Linked DNA regions of Saccharomyces cerevisiae S288C. Changing the gene in region 1 together with any one later gene gives a genetic interaction. Each region holds a gene or a part of one and is shown in the gene's direction. Other genes may lie near its edges.

Evidence for each region.
Region 2: mutations in ASI2 (region 1) and SEO1 together harm fitness more than expected from each alone (negative genetic interaction), as found in Saccharomyces cerevisiae (one large-scale study listed by BioGRID).
Region 3: mutations in ASI2 (region 1) and YLR177W together harm fitness more than expected from each alone (negative genetic interaction), as found in Saccharomyces cerevisiae (one large-scale study listed by BioGRID).

Annotation. Positions count from the first base shown.
Region 1 is NC_001146.8:337,887-341,417, reverse strand, and holds ASI2 (Asi2p), read left to right. Parts: upstream 1-2,070; coding exon 2,071-2,940; downstream 2,941-3,531. Other genes in the region: NSG2 (Nsg2p), read left to right, coding at 1-349; IGO1 (phosphatase regulator), read right to left, coding at 560-1,066; PGA1 (Pga1p), read right to left, coding at 1,210-1,806.
Region 2 is NC_001133.9:6,911-10,671, reverse strand, and holds SEO1 (putative permease SEO1), read left to right. Parts: upstream 1-1,655; coding exon 1,656-3,437; downstream 3,438-3,761.
Region 3 is NC_001144.5:509,490-513,250, forward strand, and holds YLR177W (uncharacterized protein), read left to right. Parts: upstream 1-1,564; coding exon 1,565-3,451; downstream 3,452-3,761. Other genes in the region: RFX1 (Rfx1p), read right to left, coding at 1-743; TFS1 (Tfs1p), read right to left, coding at 3,673-3,761.

The DNA of each region.
Region 1 (3,531 bases):
TAATATTTTTCAAACAGAGGTTGTTAAGAGCTCTGTCCACCATGACAGTTTGACCTCTGTTATTAGAAGTATCAATGCCATGTTGGGAGTCACATTTGGGATCAGGAAAATACAGTGGAACTCCTCTTTGCAGGCGGCAGGGGCATGGGGGCTTCTGAATATTATACTGTGGTTGTTTTTTGACGGCTCAATATCCATGTTAATGAGCTGCATCTGCATTGGGGTGGGTTGTTGTATCTCTTGCTACAAAGATATTATCGACGGTTCCCAATTTTTATATTTCATGGATTTTTATTTCCTTGGTTCTCTAATGTTTGGAAAACTAGGAAGATATCTATATTCTCATTAAAGTCGAAATTCTGACGAGTAAATATTATTAATTAGAAGTACAAGAAGATAACATCAGAATGGCTTATCGTTTATATATAACTAATTAACGTAAACACAGTCAGCCATATGGCTGTAACACTTGACATTTCGAGAAATCACATAATAAGCGTTAAATATAAGAGACCCTTCTCTTTCCCTAAAAAAATATAAAAAAGTACAGGTTGTCTATTTATCTAATGGGTGATTCAGTATACAAACTGGACGACGAAGAGCTGTGGTTCCCCACTGGCGTTGAACTTGTACTACCACCTCCAATAGTACCGTTATTAGACGATGGTGGTCCACTCGATATACTTCCCTCCTTTTGTATCAACGTCGCATTATCTACTACACCAGCGGTTGAGGCAGTTGACGGACAAGTGCTTATCCTTCTTTTTATTATATCTTCTCGTAGTTTGCTGGGATTTGTTAATGGCAGGTTATTCTTTCCATAGTTTATTGGATCATTGTTTTGAATGCCAGCTTTCTGCAAAGCGTAATCACCACTGTCGAAATATTTTCTTTTCTGCATGGTATGCTTAAAAATATCTTTCTTTGATGGCAGCTTTCCGTACATTTTGTATAGCTTCATTTCGTTGGGCGAGAATTTGCTGGTATCAATAGTTCCGCTTTCGCCGTTATTCAGTTTAGTTAAATCTGGGTTACTACTATTGGGAGATAAGTTTTCATTCGACATAGCGGCGAGTTAGATATTCAGGTCCCTTTCTTTCGATAAAAATACCCACTTTAATGAGAAGCATTTGATGGTTAATGGACTTTTTTACGTTCTAGTTGTGATGAGGCCAAGCTATCCAGCCAAAGGGGGCTCAGGCTTCCATACTAAAATTTCAGCAAAAGATCGTTCAATACGTGTGGTGCCCGGGTAACAACAAGCCCTGCTACTAATAGCACCATAACGATTAATGTTGGGTAAATATCCACGGGGATACCTAGCCGAGTGGTGATTAATGAGACTTGTATTGGAACCATGGCATGCTCACTAGGATACGAGTCAGACAAGACCTGGAAAGTCACTAGTATTCTCGCGTAGTCTGACTTAGTTCCCTGAAATTCAGTGAAACGTGGTATTGTGATAGTTTGGAGATTATTAATGGAAATTGGATGTATTGCTGACCAACACACTTTAATCTGATATGTTTCGTCTCGCTGTAAGTCCGCCAGTTCAATATACGTAGTATTATGCAACTCCAAGTCAGTGGTATTGGCCTCGATAGTGATCTGACTCATTGCTTCTCCCGATAGTGATATGGAAGATATCAAGTTTACATCTCTTGCATAAGTAGAGCTGTCTCTTGGTTTTTTGAGGGGAAAGTTGTGAGGAACCTTATATAAGATTGATTCTGTATTAGCGTGTACAAATCCGATGAAAAATACAATTGTAGCGATAAACCAGTGAACATTCTGAGGCCGGACCATCTTCTTTTTAAAAATTGAACGAACCTATGTTGGCTTAGTGTGTGCGAATACCAAGGGTCAACAACATTGCTGTGCAGTTAATCTTCATATTCATGTAAACTTCTCATTTTTTCATTGCATATTAGTTTCCGTCATTGATGATCTTTTATAACAATAGTGAGAGGAAACAACTCCCTCTACCTTCAAATAGGGTCGATTCGGGAATATGATTAAAGAGACACCGAATCAAACGCATACATCCTCACAAGCATTTAGTGAGAAAAAATGGCGAGGCCTCAAAATCATCGCCGCAGTAATTGGACAGAAAGAGACGATAATGATGATTATCTGTTTCAGCGATTTCTAGAAGAATCGGAAACGAGGCATAGTAGAGAGCCTTCACCTGTAACCGAGCAATCTCAGCAAGAACTACAGCAGGATGTACAGCAAGCAATCGATGGAATATTTAACTCCCTTAGGAGGAATATGAGTTCTACTTCAAATATAAATAGAGCAGCTAATATGGATGCAACCACAAACGGAAATGGAGGAATCAATGCAGACACTATAAGAGCCACCAACGCCAATACGGCCGATTCCCCATTCACAGCAAGGCAGCAGAGCCCTCTCAGAACTTTTCTTAGAAATTTATTCATTTTAGATTACTTTATTGGGCTAATTTTATTCCCATTTTCCGTATACAACATATTAAGGAGCGGGTTCAATTCAATGACCTTTTCAGAGAATGATTTTATAATCGAAATCGTGGGATACTGGAAATTTGCCAAGATATTTGGTTCTGGTGGCACGACATTAATAGCATATAAGGATACTGGTAAATTAGGGTTGCTTGGAAAGTTTCATAACATCATTGTATTTTACTCTTCACCTGTGATAAAACATATTATGAAAAGTAGAGATGGCAATGAACCCAACTTAAATTGGATAAGACTAATGTTCGCTAAAGCTTTCGAGCTATTTGTCAAAGTCTCTACCATTCTGATCTATTTAGCTTATGGCGTAAGTGGTACCGTTTACATGGTTACCGCTGGGTTTTTCTTCGTATTGTGTCTATTATTCACTGTTATTAGAAGATATAAAGGTGTCCATCGAATGTTGGTGAGCCAAAGGATTACAGGGCCAGGCGTATTCTGATGATGAATCCACGATTATAATTTGTGTATTTGCTTATCTGTAGTAGTTTCTTTCGCATGTGGTCGCTGTATGAGACACTTGACACCAGAGGACGTTTATTTTGAAGCAACTCCTCTATGTAAGAGCTGTTTGCAAGCTTTCCGTACTGTGACACTTGACCATCATAACGTATATTAACGAACTACTAGGGTTGTTGTGGGCTTCTTTCAAAATGGGAATTGTTAAAAACTATTGATAAACGCCACTCACTACATGCATTGATTGTAAGATTTAACTATCCTTTTTACCTGATGTCTCGAAAATAAGCGTTTACAACAACTACTATTTTGCCGTTCTAGTTTAAAACATGGACGCTATAAAACACTAAATATATCAGAAGATTTCACTTAGACACAAAAGAAGGGGGTGAGATCCCTTATCTGTAGTAAAATGTATACAAATTATACGGACATTGTTTCTTTATTGTATCCATGTATACATGTGGGGTCTTGACACTTACAGGTAGTGAATGCTAGACCTTCGAGACTTAAGGTGAGCAATGTTTTAAAACTTTTCTTTTTTTCCCACTTCAGTGGAGTGTCACCCCGGGAA
Region 2 (3,761 bases), on another chromosome or scaffold:
GTGATCAAATTTAATTAATGGACTTGTGCATATTTTAAAACGCTCGTTAAACTTCGGCTTTCTTGGCAAAAAATCATTTTAAGACTGGCTAATACTAAAGTTGAATATCAAAATTTTGGTTTTTGGGGTGAGTCTGATTTTAGATCCTTTAGAACGCATCTCCAGCTACTAGTTCCACCCAGAATTCCCGAACTATTCCGACAATCAAGAGCTCTTACATATATCAGGCGAAACGGTTATACATAAATTCAAAATTTTTGTACTGTGATTTTCTATATACATGATGTATCGGAAGCTGTATGCTTTTCAAGCATTTTTGTTTGGATTTCTTTAATATATATTTGTACAGGTAATGATAATATGAGTAAAGTAAGCCTGCAAAGAATTCGTAGCCTGTAGAAAAATAAGTTAAAGAGAAAGACAGTAAGCTTTGTAAGCATGAAACCATATGAAATAAAGTGATATAATTTTATGTTTCTGATTTGCACATGGTTCATTTTAACCAATATTAATTGGATTGGAAGAATGTGACGAGTAATTGGTATTGAATGAAGAATACTTCTTTTTACAAGAGATAACATGATGGTGCTTTTGAAATAAAGTTATCCGTATAACGTTATTATATCATGATGTCCGTCATTATGATCAAAAATAGTATATCCGATTCATTCTTCTTTGCAGCCAAGATGCAAAGTATATCGCTAAATTTTACCATGAGCGCAACAGCTGTATATTAATACGCTATTTGCTAATATATCGAACATAAAAATGTTTTAATTACGTTAAAATATGTAAATCCTCTGAGCTTTGATAGCAAATTCTCAGATACTGTCAATTTCTTATCTGAAAAACCATTTGGTTTGACGTTCCTTTCATAACTAAACCAATTACAAAAAGTGCAGAAATGTCATGGATACCATTGGCCTTAGATTTTTTAGAAGAGACTGGTAACCGCGAGTAGAGCAACCAACTCACAATGCATAACTAAGATACAAACTTTATCTATAATATCGAATAGCTTGGTGAGATATTCATCTCATTCAATTCTAATTGGTCAAATATCTACAATGCCGTCTGCTTTATGTCTTTTTCTAAAGGCATCGATTTTATGTGTGGATAATTGCATCGCAGTAATATGTAGAGCACAATTTGTAGAAATCGGAATTGGAGGTATCGGATCTTGTTGAATATCCACCAATGTCTTACCCCTGTATTTTAACAAGAGTTTACGCTGTTATATGGTTAAAGGTGTGGACGCCTTGAAGGTTTACCTTACCGAATGACACCTTTACAATAGTCAGATCACGTTCTGTGGCGTTATCCAAAGTTAGCGCAGTTTTCCGATGGTCCAATGTAATCATTAGAAATAGTAAAAACTGTGTAATGGTAAAGATTGTGTCACTGGAAAAAAACTGCTACAAATAATAAATAAATAAAAAAATACGAAAGCACAGTACTACGGGTGCCTCCACAAATAGATAAGAAACCAAGCGGAGACATGCGTTTAGATGAGGATATAAATTATTTATACAACCAGACTATATAAAAGAGCATCTAGTTTACCTGTTATGATGAATGGACATTCGCTACATATCTTACTCTCTATTTGTTAAAAAAAATTACAAAGAGAACTACTGCATATATAAATAACATACATGTATTCAATTGTTAAAGAGATTATTGTAGATCCTTACAAAAGACTAAAATGGGGTTTTATTCCAGTAAAGCGGCAGGTGGAAGACCTGCCAGATGACTTAAATTCAACAGAAATTGTCACTATCTCCAACAGTATCCAGAGTCATGAAACAGCTGAAAATTTCATCACGACTACAAGTGAAAAAGATCAACTACATTTTGAGACTAGTAGCTATAGTGAACATAAAGACAATGTGAACGTTACTAGAAGTTATGAATATAGAGATGAAGCCGATAGGCCATGGTGGAGATTTTTCGATGAACAAGAGTATCGGATCAATGAAAAGGAAAGATCTCACAATAAATGGTATAGTTGGTTCAAACAGGGTACCTCTTTCAAAGAAAAAAAATTATTAATTAAATTGGATGTCCTTTTAGCCTTTTATTCTTGTATTGCTTATTGGGTGAAATATCTGGATACGGTTAATATAAACAACGCTTACGTTTCGGGAATGAAGGAAGATTTAGGCTTTCAAGGTAATGATTTGGTGCATACTCAAGTAATGTACACAGTTGGTAATATTATATTTCAATTGCCATTTTTGATTTACCTGAACAAGCTCCCATTAAACTATGTTTTACCAAGCCTCGACTTATGTTGGTCGCTTTTAACCGTTGGTGCTGCATATGTCAATTCTGTACCACACTTGAAAGCAATTAGGTTTTTCATTGGGGCTTTTGAAGCGCCAAGTTATTTGGCATACCAATATTTGTTTGGTTCCTTTTACAAACATGATGAAATGGTGCGTCGTTCTGCTTTTTACTATTTGGGCCAGTATATCGGTATTCTATCCGCTGGTGGGATCCAGTCAGCCGTATATTCATCGTTAAATGGTGTAAATGGTTTAGAGGGATGGAGATGGAACTTTATTATTGACGCTATTGTGTCTGTCGTAGTGGGCCTTATTGGATTTTACTCCCTGCCAGGTGACCCATACAACTGTTATTCTATTTTCTTAACTGATGATGAAATTAGGTTGGCGAGGAAAAGATTAAAAGAAAACCAAACAGGTAAAAGTGATTTTGAAACAAAAGTATTCGATATTAAACTGTGGAAAACAATTTTCAGTGATTGGAAAATATACATTTTAACTTTATGGAATATTTTCTGTTGGAATGACAGTAATGTTTCATCTGGGGCATACCTACTATGGTTGAAATCTTTGAAAAGATACTCTATTCCTAAGCTCAATCAGTTATCCATGATTACTCCGGGTTTAGGTATGGTTTATTTGATGCTTACTGGTATTATTGCAGATAAATTACACTCTCGTTGGTTTGCGATTATTTTTACTCAGGTTTTCAATATCATTGGTAACTCCATATTAGCCGCTTGGGACGTCGCAGAAGGAGCCAAATGGTTTGCATTTATGCTGCAATGTTTTGGTTGGGCTATGGCTCCTGTTTTATACTCTTGGCAAAACGATATTTGTCGCCGAGATGCTCAAACTAGAGCTATTACTTTAGTTACAATGAATATTATGGCTCAATCATCTACCGCATGGATAAGTGTTTTGGTTTGGAAAACAGAAGAAGCTCCCAGGTATTTAAAGGGGTTTACTTTCACTGCATGTTCTGCTTTTTGTCTCTCCATTTGGACTTTTGTTGTACTCTACTTCTATAAACGTGATGAAAGGAACAATGCCAAGAAGAACGGTATTGTGCTTTATAACTCTAAACATGGTGTGGAAAAGCCAACGTCAAAAGACGTTGAAACCTTATCAGTATCTGATGAAAAATAATACGAGAATAATTTCTCATCATCCAGCTTTAACACAAAATTCGCACAGTTTTCGTTAAGAGAACTTAACATTTTCTTATGACGTAAATGAAGTTTATATATAAATTTCCTTTTTATTGGATAATATGCCTATGCCGCATAATTTTTATATCTTTCTCCTAACAAAACATTCGCTTGTAAAGTATTATATTTAGGAAAAAAATAATCGATAAAGGCTCATCCGAAGATCAGTTAGATTCTTTTTGCAAGTCCTGAAGAAATTTTCACACTACTACTATAAAAAAAAAATATCATAAAAAGGTACATTACGTGCAACCAAAAGTGT
Region 3 (3,761 bases), on another chromosome or scaffold:
TGCGCATACTCCTCGATGGTTTTAGATTTGTTATTTTCTGCAATTTGCTTAGCAATTATTTCTTGCGTGTTTCTCCTTGAAATGGAAGAGATTCGTTTCTCTTGGCTTGTTTTCTGTTTTTTCGTACTGCTTGGAATTGAGGGGAAGGTATTGGTACGTTTGGCAGCAGTAGGAGGATTATTGTTTAAGGTTTCCTCTGACTTGAAAGAAAGTGGGTAAGCAGATGAATTCGATCTATTCAGGCTGATAGACGCTGGATACACTGAGTATGTGGCAGGTTGCCGTTGTGTTGCGGGTTGTGCAGGAGGCTGTGTAGGGGTAGGAGATGGTTTATGGGAGCCGGGACCACTACCGATAAGTGGCGGTAATATTGGATTTGGCGTCTCCGGGCGGGGGGAACTTTGGTGTAGCAGGCTGTATATTGACGATGATTTGCTCGCTATGGGCGGGATATTCACTGACATGGGGGGCAAATAAGTGTGTGATGCTGGCGGTGGTTGGCTGCTGTACTTGGGTGCGTTTAAACTGTACCGATTACTGTTTACCGAAGATCCGTTACTTGGACCGTTGCTATTGTCGTTCGAGCCCCGACTAGTAGGTTCAATGTTATTATCACCGGACATGGGCAAATAAAATTCAAAATAATGAACAGACAAAAAACTAGGCGAGAAGATGAAGTACTTGGCAGGTATTTTTCTAGTGAAAAGGTTTTCTGTTGGTTTGCGTTCTTTGAAGATTACCATTTACTGCTATTTTTTTTTTCAACTTTTTCCCAAATCGCCATGACAACACGAAACGACAGGAGAAAAATTACGAAATCAAAAACAGGTTCAACTGTTGCAGCAATAGACACCACAAACGTGCGCAAGAAACCGCAACGAAGGGGAGGTGACCGTGCTTGAAATAAAATCCGAAGATCCATAGGTGAGCCACGAGTTTGATTCCAAACTCGTGGTTTTACCAACGAAGCTGTATATCGTGGAGTGGCGCTACCATTGGACCTTCGTTTCTTCTTTCCCTCTTCCGCACCGTACCAGATAGGAAAAACCGCACCTTCGTTTTTGCATACCTAGATGGTCCTGTAACAAGAATAGAGCTAAAGAAACAAGTATGCGTCGACTGCTGCCACGCCCGGCTGATTTAGGTGCACATCAGCTACCCAGCATACAAAGGGGCTTCCGTACGGTTGATGGTTATTTTTCTTGGTGTGTTGGTGCTGCTGTATCGCTGGTGCTGTCTGCGTTATTACGACTATCGTAGGACAAGGCCTCGAGAGGTGTAGGGTAAATCCCACTTGCACAAAGTATGTACACACTTGATTATCCAAATACCAAGAGAGTGTGGTTCAATTTACGGGCAGCTCGAGCTGCCCGTAAATTGAACCTTCCCCTTCCCCACGCTCAAGGGGTTCCTGCGCCGGTGTTTCAGGGGCAGGACACGCGGGGATCGCTGGCACAGTATATAAACAATAAAAGAACAATGGAGAGAGGAGGCGCCATTCAATATCAGCTCACTAGAGTGCATAGACGTATAGACACAGGAATAAAGATAGAAATAGGGTACCATGGAGCTGCCTTCAATAAATAGCACCACAAGTATATCCGACAACCAGGAGTTAAGGAATTACTATGACAAGTTGCTGTTCAAGAACAATAGTGGCAAGTCGCTAGCGGATTTGCCAGGAAAAATGGCAGATTTTAACGACAACAGCGCTGCTGCGCATCCCCGCTCCAGAGTTGACTTTATCAACGGTTACATCGGTTTCAGAGAGGATAAGCAGTCTCTTCTGGGGCAGAAGAACACTAAAAGGGCCTCGTTCAGCGCATTTGCGGACGAAGGAAGGAAACAGAGCGAGATGAGCATTAACGGGAAGAGCCCTAATTTGTCTCTTTTCTCATTTGAGTTTAACGGCACCCCGACTCAGGACAGAAAGCCATACAAACAGGATTACTTGAATGTGATGAACACTTCGCCTAACAATATTCTTTCTCCCTTAAACAACAGCTCCCAAAAATACTATCCACAGAAACAGCAGCAGCAGCAGCAGCAGCAGCAGCAGCAACAGCAACAAAGCATCTTTGACCCGGGAAGAAGATCTTCCTATATTTCTGATGCGCTGATTCATGGCAATGCGGCTACCCAGCAACCACAATACTCGCAACCTGTATATATTAACAACAACCCATCTTTGCAAGTACCATACACTGCTCCTTCCGAGTATACTCAGCAGCAACAGTACTCGTCACCCTTCAATGCTAGGCGCAACACCCAGCCAGTGCTGAACTTGCATCCGGCAGCCGCTCCCACAAACGATGCCGGATTGGCGGTTGTCGACGGCAAGAATTTGACGTCATCCAAGGAGCTGCATGACTTATATCTTGACTGCGGGTCAAACTATTTTGCTAGTGATAAAGTTTATAAATTTATTGACAGCATAAAGGGAACTTTACGCGGGGATAATGTCTCCGCCTCCAGTTCCAGGATTATAGAGTTTTTGGATTTTTTGAAAAATTGTAATCTGAATTACAACCCACAGTCTGACGCATTCATCTCCACTGCTGTTTCAAACGCTTCGTCGACCGGGGCGGCCAAATCCAAGAACAGCACTTCAATGCATTTGCACTATAAGCCATTAGTGTTAGTATCGTTGAAAAATGGTAAGCTCGAACTGTTGTCTAAACCACAAACGGCCACACTTATACTGAAAAGGGGCGATTTGGTCATTATTGATGGTGATCGTGGTAAAGATTTAGTTTTGGTGGTGGAACCGGTTGTAGATATAAATTTGGCACTATTTATAAATTTTTTGAAGAAAAAAATTCACTTTGATTCTCTAATCACCAATAGTCAACAGCATTTCCCCAATGACCAGTTTATCAAGACTCTGGTTGATACAACCAATGGTAAGCCGGTCGCTCATGAGTTGAATCCGAAGTTATATGATATCATTGAACTAACGCAATTGATCATCCCATCAAAGCAGGTTCTGAGATTTGCCACCCCGTGGGAATCCTCCACGAATTTACACAACAAATTCCAGGATGAGCTAAAGGCTCTTCACATTGCACAGCTAAAACTGAGGTCGCTAAATAACAATAACTCCGGTGGCGGGTTGAACATCAAAATATTGAATGCAGAGTTCCAATTCGACAGAAAGAAATTGACTTTCTACTACATTTGCCAGGAGCGTAATGATTTCAGAGACCTGATCAAAGAACTCTTTAAGTTTTACAAAACAAGAATTTGGCTTTGTGCTATACCGAACAATTTATCGATAGATTCCAAATTTTATGATTCAAACAAGTTTGAGTGGGAGATGTATCAGGATATGATGTCCCACTATTCCATGGACAACACTGGAATTGTCGTGGCCCCTGAACTGAATCGCTTGAAACTGGACGACTTCCAGATCGGTGTTTATATGGAATTGGTGAAGGTTTTGTTCGGCTAACCCAAACTTATATAATCATTATAAACATTTTATAAACTTATACACTTTTTTAATAATCTCACCATGTTTTTCTTATGTGTTTTGTTTGACAATGACATTACTCCCTACAAACATGTGCGCGTTTGTGACAAAAACATAAATAAAACAAAAATAATAAAAAGTCAAGTGAAAAGCACTGAAATCTAAAAAATAAATACATATACATATATATATATATATACCTATTTCGTTTCCGCATAGAAGAAATTGGAGGCAACTAGTTGCAGGTTGTTTTCCTTAGCCCATTTGCCAACACCGGTGGCAGGGGTGC